Linked DNA regions of Styela clava. The protein of the gene in region 1 purifies or fractionates together with the protein of each later gene. This does not show direct contact. Links are inferred from orthologs where the notes say so. Each region holds a gene or a part of one and is shown on either strand. Other genes may lie near its edges.

Region 1 (6,993 bases):
CATCAAGAACAACATTTTTAATTGTGAGAAGATTATTGTGCTGCATACCCCTAAGAAGTGAGCTTTCGAATAAAAGAAATCTGGTTTGTTCCTCAGATGCTGCTTTGGTTACAGTCTTGATAAGCACCGGTACGTTCTTCTCCAAGTAACCCCTGTATATACGTGAAAATGTTCCCTCTTGGAGCATTTCTTCGAGTACAACATCAGACTTAGGAACAGCAATAGCAGATAATTTGGCTCTTATGTCGACAACATCAGTTCCTAAGTCATTGATAATTGGAGTGAAATGCATCCAGCTTGCGTTAGATCCCGGGGCTGGTCGTGGTGCAGTTTCATTATTTGGTAGATCTGGCCTCAAGAATTGGTTGTTATGATGCATGTTAGCTGACACATGGTTCATTGAATATGTCCCCGCCTCTGCTTTACGCTGTCGCCTATGCCAGATTCTTACTATAATAACTGCCATTATGATGATAAATGTGACAACTGATATCGATATATAAAAAGCTTTTGTACTCTGAGAATTGCTGTGGGTGGGGTCATATGACTTTGGCTGATTTCCATTATTTGTGTCACCGTCTTCATTACTTTTCTCTGGGGCATTTGAGTTATCATTACTTGGATTTATATTTTCAGCGACTGGAACATTTTGTTTGAATTTTGAACATTTTTTCAAACGCTTCAGCTCTACTTTGGTTGTTTCTGCTGGGTTGTCGTAAAGTCTAAACACTAATGAAATAAGAACAACAGTTTCTCCATCCTCCAATCCAGTACATTTTAAGTTAACTGAAAACGGTGCAGCATAATTAGGAAGTTTACCATTGTTTTTAATAGTCGCATTTGGAGCATGCATTGGACTTTTCAATTGCTTTTCTTCCTTATCAGAATGCATTGGTGACGAAAATTTCAAGTCATACAAAACACTTGTGTCAGGATCAGTCGCCTTCCACATAAAGTTGAGAGTATCTTTATCTTCTTGCACATGAGCCATGAAAGATATGGCATTCTGGTTGATAATCCCATTGCGGATATAATATAACTCCATTCCATCAGCTCCAAATAAGTCTTCAACTTCCGTTACGGGGAGATACAAATTAATATTCGCCTGGGCCAACAAACAAAATATTGAAAAGTAATACAGCAGAATAACGGGTGGCTGATACCTGCCCATTTTGTTCTGGAAAAGCAAAGTAAAAAGTTACAATTTTAGAGGCAATAAAAATGTACAAGAAAGCGAAGACCAAACCTTAAATCAGAAATAACACCACAAAGTTATTACATCATTTCAAATTCTTTTGCTCAAAGCAATGACAGTTATAGGAAAAGATAGTATTTTAATCAATGTATTGTTCCCTATCCTATTCGAAACATTCATGCATACAGATAAATTAAGGATCATAATATACATTTAAACATCTGATATTCTTATCATAGAGGATGATAGAAAAGTTATGTAATAGATTAATGATGTACGGTAATTTATTTGAGATACTGATGTTAGAAGCATGGTAATAATGATTGATTGTAACGTATATAAAGATAAAATCTAGAATATCTGTTTTCTTTCTAAACAAAAAAGGTTTTGTTATTACCATATTTTATAATATATACTATATTGTATAATATGGTATTTTTTACTTTTTTTCAACCCATAAAACTTATTTTCCAATACAGAAGGAAGAAAACAGATATCCTAGATTTGAAAATATTTCTATACAAAAAATATTGATAATATTTCTATTGTCATATAATATTTTCTAACAGAAATTTTTATTTATAAGCTAAAGGATACTAAACTGATTGGTACAAATGATAAGCTCAAAACAACTGAGGTGTAGTTGCTCTCTTTATAGAACTCTATATTAAATGTTTGTTTTGTCACTTACTGATCAAGAGCAATCTCATCCAAAAAGAAAGAATAACATATTGTTCAATGGACTATTGGGAGTACTCCCGTAGTGTGTGTACCAGGTTAGGGTTAGGCCATAATTTTATTCTGATTTTCCCTATTTATGTTATATTACGAGTTCGGGGACTGGCTGTGTTAGACAACTGAATACACCCCCTGCCCACAGGCTTCAGTCTCATTACACAAACTGATGTAAAATAAGCGAACAAAATTAGTTACCTCCATATTGGTACACACACTTCTGCAGCGTCCTACTGGAATATGATTCAGTTCAATTCATTCCAAAGCAGACCAGATGTATGAACACATAGGACAATTCGTTTGTCCCAATCTTTCAAAATTAATTATCAATACTGTGTAAGCTGGTAGACATGGGATTTAAACTCGAATTTCACTTGATATGCCACCATAATTAAATTTAACAGTTTAACCACCCCGCACAGTAATCTCATGAGTTAATTTTAAAATGTTTCTTAAGACAAATTTATTAAGAAGATTATGCATTCTTTCTTAGATATAAGCACTGAGGCGTTAAAGATTTCCAATAATTTTTGTTGTTCCTGGAGCATATCCATGCTCTGTCCAATATTTAATTTTTTGTTTTATTTTTTCTGAAGCTTCATCTTTGCTGAAAATTTCGACAGTGTCTGCTAAAATATATGTCGCTAGATAAGTTTTAACAATTCGAGATTCGTTTTCATCTACTAATTTTGCTAATCTAACTTGGTGAAGTTTTCCAATAACTTGAATATTCATATCTTTCTTTATTGTTGAAAGCATTTGCATAGCTTCATGTGACTTATTGTTTGCTTTAACTTGTACTGTTAGATATAAATACGTTCCCATGTACATCTTGATACCTTTGGTTTTAGTACAATATCCTCTCTCAACTTTTCCAGCAAAAATTACCCTATTGACATGTTCACTTCTGTGTTGAGGTTCAGTCATTCCATCATTTTGTACATCAGTGTTTGTTGAATATAATTTAGAAATTGAAGCAAAATGTCTTCGTACATTTTTACTTGCTTTCTGTGCTATGTCTCTAGAAATTCTCAGAGTAATCATTCTGCAGTGTAGAAGCACTTATATAATATTGAAAGATAAATATCTCGGTCTACATAGCTGGTATAGAAATACAAATAAAATAGTGAAAAAAGTAATCCATTCACAGATTCATTAGATATTTGAGAGCAACCAAATACTGAAATAAGAGAACACTAGAACATTATTACATTTCGAACAACACTTAGCTATTTTAACAGAACACTAGAACATTACTGCATTATTGCATTTCAAACAACACTTGGCTATTTTAACAAGGAGCTAAGCACAAAAAAAAAGTGTAACCCAATCTACTGAACTATAGAATTCTGGTATTGCAACTGTAGATTCACATTAAATGTTATGGTAATTAGGTATTGGTAAGCTTCATTTTTGGGGTCTGGTATAGTTTAGTACCACATGCACTTCTAGTTGGCCTGGCTCAACAATTTTTGCATATGTCAATCCTAACCCCCACCTGACTACGTCACCGAAAAATTACGTCATTTGGACGTCACAGTGGCGTAATAAGACCAACCAAAGTATGCGGATGGTCGTCCAATACGCACATACAATCACCCGAAATCGAGCAAGCTATTTCTCTCGTTTTTTCGTCACAACGATCACCATAGGAGAGAGATCGTCGGCGTTAGCGAGTTCGTTATCGGCGGTGCAGACGCCATTTCGGGCGATTGTAATTATACTTTGGCAAGCCATATGACGTGATGGTGACGTAATTTTTGGATGGCATAGTCAGGTGGGGGTTAGGAATACCATATGCAAAATTCGTTACGCTACACCCACTGGAAGTACTTGTGGTACTAAACTATACTAGACCCCATTTTTGTGCTCAAATGTTGAGAGAGAAGCCGCAGATTTTTTTTCAAATTTATTTAAAAATGCGCGCTTTAGCTCATTGTTCATGAACCTTATTGAACATATAACAAGATCTTCATAAAAATCAACAATCAGATTATAAACCATAAACAATTATTATGGACTGATGGTTAGGGAAACTGGGTCTAGTCTGCTAGTGTAATATAGTAGGTACCACAAGTACGGAAGTAGGCTACTTCTAGTGGGCTTGGAATGATCATTTTTGCATATGTTATTCAGTTATCCTTAACCCCTACCTGACTACTTCATCCAAAACCTCACTATCTATGACTTAATTGGAAAATAATAATTATTTGTCAGCTTGTAACCCTGTATCCTCCTGTCAGATTTACAGTCTGACAGTGGAACACTTTTATAACATGAATAAATAAAAATAGAGATAAATCTAATGAGTTTTGCGATTGTCTATAAATTAGTAAGTTTTTTTTATTTTTATTTTTTTTAAACGCTCACAAATGTGTTAAATGTGATACAGTAATAATCATAGAAATAATGGGAAAAAAAAATTTTACAATCATTATTATTCCAAACTGTAATCCATAATATCCGACGTAGTTTCCATTTTTCAGTATTCCAATGTTCAATAATCCATATATAATCCGTAATACTGTAATATCAATTCAGTGATATCAAGATGTTTACAAGTTAATAATACATTAGTTAAGCATTATTTGTTATACATAAAAATAGAAAAAAAAAACAATATTAGCAACTATACATTTACTCAAAATATAATCACAGACAGTTGGTTAAAAATTCTAATTCCTTTATGAAATTTGGTAATTTTCGAACTTTTTCTATATTTCTCCGACATGTTATTGAAGTTTGTATCTGTTTTATGACTGTTTGAACGTTAGGTATCTTTTTTTGAAATATAACAGCATTTCTTTCTAACCAGATCTTATATCTTGTTATTGATATAAGTAATACTATAATGTTTTCATGAAAATCTGAAAAAAATACAAAAATATATTGCAGTACAGCAGTGATTCCCAGCCTCCAATGACTAGTGACTTCCTTCCGGATACTTTTGGCACTCATGCCCCCACTGCTTATCATTCCAGTGGTATTTCTGTATTTCAGTATTTACAGTTGCAATACCAGCATTCTAGAGATTGATTGCCTCTTATAGTGTTATTGTGATTGATAGATTCCAGATCCGTATATGTTCAAACAATTCATATTCCCATATTTAACAAAGTGAAAACACTCTGTGGAATAACCTTCAATCAATCATTTTATTTCGTTTATTTGACATGTAAGAACACAAAAAGTAAACAGACAAAACAAAATGCAGAGATACCTGGAAGGCGAGCGTAACTTGAAGTAAAGTTAAAAAACGTACACGTAGGGATGGGCAATATAGAATACCTAATCCGGAGGATTCGAATCCAACAGGATCTGATAACAGGATTCGGTTTCCGCCTCTCCGGCGCCATTCATCAATTTTTGTATTTCGGGTTTCTAATTTATCAATTAAAGATGGGCGCTTTTTCTCGCGTGAAATCTCTCTCGTTTAATTAAACTTGCGTCTGCTCACAAAGAACCCGTAAAATCGGTTAACAGTCAGTTAACAGTTAACAATCGGAGTCCCTCGCGACTCCGGTCACGCAAAAACATGATTAGTACTGTAATTTATTCATTGTGTCACTTTATGTTTGAACGTGTTTTTTTGTGATGACAAAATAAACGATTGATTGATTGATTGACATCAACACTGTAATTGTAATCTCAATCGGCGTATTCTGGACAAGAAGTCGTCGAAGTACACCTCACGGCGAAGACTCGTTATTGCACTATTTTTGCTTTTTCCTGCTTTGTTATCTAGCTAGGGTATAATAATTATTTGTCCTGATTAACTGGCGATATTCCGATAATCTAATTGCAACAATATTTAATTTATCAACAATAATAATTTTTTTACACCATTTTCCGAAATACAAAGTTATATGGCAAAACACGACAATCTGTTACATTTAAATTTCACTTTCAAAAGATTACATATTTTTCGGTCCGTTTGTATCGTTAAAGAAAGACGCACGTTTGATCGAGTGTCTGTAGTATTTTAGTCGCGGATAAATTTAAAAAATGATGGCGCATCTGGCGAAGATAGTTACCTACGTATTGAGTGTGAGTACGGCCAAGTCTTGGTAGATAATGATATTTAGCGATAATAATAGAAAATAAATTCGTCTTCAGATGTTATTACCTAATAACTAATTATGAAATCGTGTTTACGGGAACTTTGTTTTTCAAGTCTTGCTCGCACAGAATAAAAAGTTGATTTAACTGATAGTGGGTAAATTTAATATTTTACAACGGCCGCATAAGTTGCAGTGGCCATACGATGGACCTGCATTTAATTAATTCTCAGCGGATGTGTTTTAGTGCACTAGGCACTTTAGTACACTGGGCAACATTAATACACTGGGCAACATTAATAATGATTTAATGCCGTTTCATATCTATTTTTGTATTTAACCGTGTAACGCACGTCGTAATTTAGCATATCAGCATTTAGAGATGACATACATTTGGAACAATTGAAGGCAAAAATATTGTAATATTCTTAGATTTTATTGTCCTTGGAAATGCCGGTTTAATATTAAATAAGTTAAGGATATTTTCAAATAAATAATACAATTATAGTAATACATTTACAATTTTTTAACATCTAAATCTAGCAATGTGGAAAACTCCCACTATTGAATAAATATGAAATTAGAATAGGATTCGGATCTATTTAACTATAAATTATTCTACATTGCCCATCCCTACGTACAAGTACGTGGGTAACATGCCTACCAACCAAAATAAAAAAAAATTAGAAACACACCAGCAATGGAACTAGGATTTAGGAAGAACGAGGACCTCTGTCACGCTAGCGAAATCCTGCTGCTCAAAAATACGATGTCATAAAAAGTGTTTCATTATAAAATTTATGAATAAAAAATAATTTAATTGCACTGAGCAAATGAGGTCTAAAATTTCGTTAGGGTTGGGTTTCCGTGGCTATTGATTAGAAATACTTCGCGAAGTGGGAACATACTTTTATGACATCGTATATTTTTATGTAGGATTTCGCTGACGTGACAGTGGCGAACGAATAGCGTTTATATGGCAGTATGGAGTGAAAATTGAAATGA
Region 2 (7,016 bases), on another chromosome or scaffold:
TGCTTTTATTCTATTCATATGTTGTCGACTTACCTCGCCGAATTGAAACATAGAATACAAAACAAGAACAATTCCAGCAAATGCAAAATAGATTCCATATTGATGAGAGAGGCATGTGTAAGTATGCCTTTGCAGAAGTTTAAAAAATATTTCCTTTCTCATTGTTAATGCTATAATGACGTTAACCTGGTAAATGTATATCACACATGACACATGAAAAACCTCATGACCCCCTAGTTGCAACCCCACACGATGCACGCCCTGTAAATACCGACAACTACCACATTAGAACTTACATCAAAAAGTTGCACCTAAAATGCCTATAAAAACGCACTCCATACACAACTTCCAAAAAACTCGTGATACCAACGTACTTTGTGATTGCCTTTGCGGTATTGGAAATTATGAGTATTATTGAATAATGAACCAAAATGTGGAAATGCTGTCCGTATCTACACAATTTGATCCATTTCTTGTCTTTGGATCCCCTTGTTCAAACGTTAGAACATTGTACCAATGAGCATGTATATATATGCTCATTGATCGTACTAAGCTTACAAAATCGACGGGATTTCGGGACTAAGTTTGAAATTTCGAAATATGGATTTTTGGGATTTTTATTTACCAACCCGTTTTTTTTTGTAATAGTAAATTTAAAAAGTGGTCACGTGAGCTGAAAATACGAAAAGTGCACACATTTATTAGTTGTTACATTGATGCGTAAACTCCAGACTATTTTAGTAGGCGCTATGATTTTATATGCAAGATCTCTAGGATTTTATTTCTAGGAGCTCTAAATACCTCGTATTAAGTAAAAAATGCTCCCTTCGTTCAAAGAACATACATCTATGTCTCAACGTAAGCCGTTCATCGGCTGGCATCGGCATCGGATCGTGTGGGTTGCCAAACTAATGAATGTATGATTTTCTTTAAAATTGTCGGGTTTTCGTATAAATAGTCCGTTTTATTTGCCGTTCATTTTACTTTTCACAATGTTCTCGACACTTTCGTTTCAAATAGTCTGAATATTCAGAATTCTTCATTGTCTCTGCTTTATATTGTTTTAATGAATAACAATTATTTTTGACAAGGTGTTGTGGTGTTGAAACAGAAAAAATTAATGAATGTGCTCGCAATCTCACGTAAGTAATACAAACAGCGACGAAGTTCACGTAAAAACGTAAATATAATACATTCCTAAATTTTAGAGGCAGAAGAAGAAAAGCGGCCTGAACATGCCGCCCAATCATCAGTATGTTGAGCACAATTAGTTGTTTCAGATGCATCATCTTGGGTGCAGGAGGGCGTCACAACGACCTGCGAACGATACCCTTTTCCTCTTATGAAACTTTTATTCTTTTGTACAGTATGAAAAAAAATATATCATTTGACCCGAAATATCCTTCAATCGTATATAGAATTATTATGTATGACTCCACAAATTTTAAACATTGAAGGGGTATTATCCTCTGTGCTTCTATCTCATACGTCGTACCATTGTAGATGGTTTTTATTTATTTAGGAAATCGGTCATATTTTGAGTATGCAATGCAAGCGATTACACATAGCTTACTTCTCGTGTAGCTGCAGATTGAACGATGCACTCCTAAAGGTGCGGTTGTTTGCGAAATTGAATAAAGCCTCACAATGCCTCTTATGCTGATCTAATGTGTACCTCAATAGTTGATTGTGAATGTTTAAATAAAGTATTTTTATTATTGGTGGAAATGGAGATGAGTTATACCACTGAGTTGCATTTAATTATTTTTCATGGTATGACAAATTTTCACCACATTATAATTTTTGTCCCTGCTCCGCCGTGTATGAATATTCTTATTACTCTCTTTTTTCGTATTTAGTTTTTTTAATGTTTTCATAGAGTAGGCTATTATTTATTATCGTCTAACTCTAAAATAGACAAAAATTTATTGTGTAACTGAGTATTCAACTAATTATGTCTCATTTTGAAAAACTTAACTTCTCACACACTCATACACTGGTATAACAATGAAGTTACTTGGGAATACAAAGGAATTTTGTTCCAAAAACTTGTAAAAACCTTTTATTGTGAAGTTCTCTAACTAGTCATTTTCAAGTGTGAATCTTAATCAAACCAGCGCGTATGGTGGGAGTTGACCTCGATGACCGTGCGGCCGTATTGTTCCCTCCGGTTCATACCAAACAATTTTATTGGACACGTCAGTGGGCATAACGATTGTTTTGCATTATTTTTGGATACCTAGTGGAAAACTTAAATTATAGCTTTTTCTTTGATTATTGGACCAATTTCTTCAAAATTTTCAGTGGTTAAAGATGAATTTTTCTTTCTAGAAGGGTGTTACTTTTATTTATTTCAAATATTCCTGGTAGCACTTTGGGATTCGTTATTTTGACACGTAATGGATTTGTTTTTACTCTTCTTTTTGTTTTCTTGATCACGTGCTCATCGAACGAAGGTGGTGTATAACGAAATTCTTACTCTGCTATGACGAGCAGCGTTGTAGGTACCGGATCTCTGTGGTACCGGTTGCGTCAAAGTGAGAACTGCTTCGCTCTGATGGATGTGTCCATATATTTGAGCATTGCTATCTTGTTTCTAATACTTTTCTATTGAATCGATGATTGCATTTCTTGTTAAAAAAATAATAATTCTCACTTGCTTCTTCTTTAACCTTGCGGTCTCGTCAGCTTCAATACAATTTAACCTCAACCAATCAGAATCCTCAACCCAATCCGAGAATCAAGAAATGGCAACGCCAAAGCATTTGCGTTATGATGATGATTCCCCGTGGTGTTGGGATCGGAATCTTACATACCGTGTTTCTCCGAAAATAGGACTGGGTCTTATTTCAATTTTCTTTCGAAAAATAAAACTAGGGCTTATTTTTGGGGGATGTTTTATATTTCCATTTATCAAAAACAAAATTACAACGTAGAAAATTGGGAGATTTTCAAATATACAAAATATGAAAATTGACATATCTATTTACTTATAAATAACACGTTTTTAGGATAGGATAGGATTTACATATTTATCCCGGGGGAGAGGAAAGCCGATAAGACGGCTTATCCATATGGCGAACCACGGCCTCTCGTCCGGTTACCATTCCAAGTCGGGTATGGGATTATTTATATATTGTTTGTTTTCGGAAGCATGAACTTGGTGGTGGAGGAAGCCGTAACCGACCAGCGGTTACGTGAACCACCCAATTATATTCGTTTTTATTCAAAATAACTGCAAAACACAGGTTATTAATCATTCAAAACGTGTAGGGGAGATTTCTTGCTATCGACTAGGTCAAAAATAAATTCGCGTTATATTAAAATAATTTTTAAAATTTATGCTAGGTCCTATTTTAAGGGTAGGTCCTATTTCCGGGGAAACACGGTACTTCATTTACAACTAATTTTTGTAATCACAGCTGAAATCTTACAAATATCACGAGAAAAAAACACGAAAACGAGGCATTGTTTACACTTTATAGCAATGCTTGAGAATCTAATCTATGTCTGGGTATGTTAGTCGTTGGTCTGGGTGAACGATGTGTCCCGCTTGGATGTGTCCGAGCGTCTGCAAAAATTGCCATTGTTACGTCATCGTGTACTTCATGCTGAATGGTCATTGGTATAGATATAAACAAAGAAATCGATGCTTGGAGAAACATTAATTGGTTAACCATAGAGCGAGAGAGATTTTATTCGCACAAACCAATATTAAAAATCAATAGTAATTTTTTTTTTTATAGAATTACAGTAAAATAAGCAACTTAAACATTGATTTGTGCATGTCAACACCGGTCCCGTACCATACCGTTTGCAAGGCCCTCGCAGGAAATCCAGTATCGAACTGTCGGAATGCGTTGTGACAATATAAATTCATCAAAATAAAAAAGGACAGAAAATGAGTCCGCAAATAATTTTGTTCTAGGGCTAGGCTACGATTCGACACTTGCCGGTACCGGAATCCGAAGCCAAACTATTTCGCTTCGACCAGAGTCAATTTCAAAAATATTTCAATTATTTAGTAGTGGTATATATTTACGATTTAGACTAGTATTATTTCATACATTGCCTTTAGTAGTTTTTACACTTGCCTCTTTTACGTACATAGGCTATATCTGGCCTAACTTTTCTGACAAAGTTTAGTTGATAAACCGCTTTAACTGATCGGGTCTCTCTTTTTGATACCGGTACTGTACCGCAGTGTCACTAATGTCTGAATGTTACTGTAATTCAGTAATGGTAAGAAATGGATTTAAAAAAAATAGGGAAACACAAGACTGTATTCTGTGATAAGTTGTTTGTTATAAATAGACTACCAGTACATGTACTGAATGGCGGAGAAGCATGCAACTAGCCAGCAGCCAACAAACAGATTTACGTGAACGTCTCCGATTAAGATTACTTCAATAGTGTAATATTTTACTATATTTCTAGAATTGGCTCGGCGGTGTGGCTATCGTGCTAAGCGTTAGAAATACGCTCCTCACCGCATCTCTAATTACCCTTCGTGGGTTCGCCGGTTCGAATCCCATGCAGGGATGATCATGTGCGAGAGCATTGCTGGACTCCTCGCCGCCGCAGGGTGGTTCACGTAACCACTGGTCGGTTACGGCTTCCTCCACCATTAAGTCCAAGTCAAGTCCATGCTTTCCAGAACAAATAACTGGCTATCTAATCCCATACCCGACCTGGACTGGTAACCGGGTGAGAGGCCGTGGTTCGCCATATGATTAAGCCGTCTTATCGCCTTTCCTCTCCCCCGGGATAAATATGTAAATCCTATCTTATCCTAGAATTAATGTTTAAATATAATTATGGTTGAAATGATAACGTGATAACTATAACACATTTGTGGCAGCCATTAAACTGCTCATGACTTCTTGATCATTAGTATGATGGAGTTCCCCGAGATATTACTGCCTGTGATCCTATTACTTGCATCTCTGTCAAATGGATGTGTTCTCAATTACCACACGTCATGCGGCTGCAGGAACAAGTCACGACAGTCCAAGATACAAGGCAAGAAAATGGACTGTCACAGAATCAATATTGCTGACATGTTTGCTAATGCGGAATTTCCAGACGACATTGTCTTACTTTCCATAGATCTTACTGATAATGATTTGAAAGAAATAAATAAAGATATTTTTGGAGAAAAACTTCACACACTTGAAATATTAAAACAAGTTATAAAGTTGGATATGTCAAACAATAAAATTTCAAGAATATCTCCAAAATCGTTTTCAATTTTTACAAATTTGACACGACTGAATTTGAGTTCAAACAGCATTGGACATTTATCCGCCGATATGTTTGAGGGTTTACCAAGTCTGGAAGTTCTGGACCTTTCCTTAAACATATTTCCCATAATTCCTGGAGATTCATTTTCGAATCTTCCAAAATTAAGAAAATTGTATGTGAAATCTACTGATTTTGTTTGCAACTGCCTTATGCATGATTTCAAAATCTGGATCGATACGAAAGACCCTCCAGTAAGAGTATATGGAACTTGTCACTTACCCCTAAGTTTGAGGGGACGTTCGCTTCGTAGCTTGACTACGGATGATTTTGTATGTGATGCAAATAATACATTATCAAGTTTGCCCTATTTTGAAATAACACCGGATTCCCATCAATTAGTTTTTGAAGGTGATGAATTCTTTATGCAATGTGAAGGTACAAATTTGCCAACGTCTGAAATAACTTGGAGTTTCAACAGAATATCTATTAATCTGAGTGACGAAAACCTGATTGTAAAAAATGCAGCCATCAGCAAGTATGAACCAATTATTATGGGATTCTTACAGATAAAAAATCTCTCTAAGAATCACAGTGGAAATTGGAGTTGTATGGTTTCATCAGAACATGGAAGTGAAAATAGAGTTATCAGAATTATAGTCATAAGTCATAATTCTAGTTACTGCCCTAGAAGGGAAGTTGAAAATAACAGAGGTGACTTTACGTGGAACTCAACGGTATCTGGCATAACAAAGTCCATCAAATGCCCATTATCACGAAGTATGCCTGGTGAAATGCATATTAACAAGGCATATCGAAGCTGTTCCAGTGGGAATTGGTCATTGGAGCATTATGACCACTGCCCTTACAAAAGCAAGGCAACTAGATTGATACACAATTCTTTAAAAGATATTACATCACGTAATGCAGAATCTTTAGTTCAGGAGTTGATAAGGAATCTTGGCTTGCTTCAAGTTCCCACACCCATCACAGAATCTCTCACTGTCCAGTTAATCAGTCAGCTAATGGAAAGATTGATGGATGTTATGGTTCATGGCAACAGGCATGATTTGGGCGATGAAATATTGGGATTAGCAAGCTATGCTATGAATGCCAATGCATCTCTTTTAAGAGAGGCACAAAAAGCTTCTGGAGCGTGCGATAAAATTTTGAAAGTTGTAAGAAGCTATGCACTGAAAGGAACATCTTCTGCAGAGTTCAGCGATGCTTCTGAAAATATCGCAGTGAGTGGATTTATGATGGAGAGTAAGTCACAATATAATAAAGAAGGTAATGGATTGACATGTAAGGTTTCAAGCGGTATTAAAAACTTCAAATTTGAATGTAAGACATCTCAATTTAAACGCCAAGAAATGCAATCTTCTGTGTCTTTGCCAAAATCCCTTCTTAATTCATGTGGAGAAAGTCCAACTGGCCAATATAAGCTTTACTTCATTGCCTATAGAAATGGGAGCCTATTTCAACAAAAATTTCTGGATAGTATAGACAGCTTATCGAACACAACCTTTGGAAATTCAAACTCAATAACACAGAATATTGTTCTGGAAACTGGAGTTAGTGGTTGCAATGTTTCTAATCTCTCTGACCCAATTAGTTTCAAATTTAAAACTACTCACACAGGATCTCATGGTCCCGCAGTTTGGTCTCGAGATCGTGGTTGGGTAAAAGACGAGAGTTGTATAGCTTCGCCACAACGTTTCAACAGGAACTACACCTATGTTAGATGCAAGAAATTGTCTGTTGTAACGATATTA

Evidence for each region. Proteins that work in one complex are often made in the same cells at the same time.
Region 2: the proteins of tyrosine-protein kinase RYK-like (region 1) and adhesion G protein-coupled receptor A3-like purify together in Homo sapiens (affinity purification with mass spectrometry; 3 studies listed by BioGRID and IntAct, with this or other methods). This does not show direct contact. The link is inferred for Styela clava from reciprocal best matches to the Homo sapiens genes RYK and ADGRA3.

Annotation. Positions count from the first base shown.
Region 1 is NC_135257.1:16,879,153-16,886,145, forward strand, and holds the start of tyrosine-protein kinase RYK-like, read right to left. Parts: upstream 3,018-6,993; 5' UTR 2,135-3,017; coding exon 2,129-2,134; intron 1,178-2,128; coding exon 1-1,177. UniProt on the Homo sapiens protein: May be a coreceptor along with FZD8 of Wnt proteins, such as WNT1, WNT3, WNT3A and WNT5A. Involved in neuron differentiation, axon guidance, corpus callosum establishment and neurite outgrowth.
Region 2 is NC_135258.1:16,969,006-16,976,021, reverse strand, and holds the start of adhesion G protein-coupled receptor A3-like, read left to right. Parts: upstream 1-3,925; 5' UTR 3,926-4,895; coding exon 4,896-7,016. Other genes in the region: N-acetylglucosamine-1-phosphotransferase subunits alpha/beta-like, read right to left, coding at 34-162. UniProt on the Homo sapiens protein: Orphan receptor that may have a role in planar cell polarity pathway.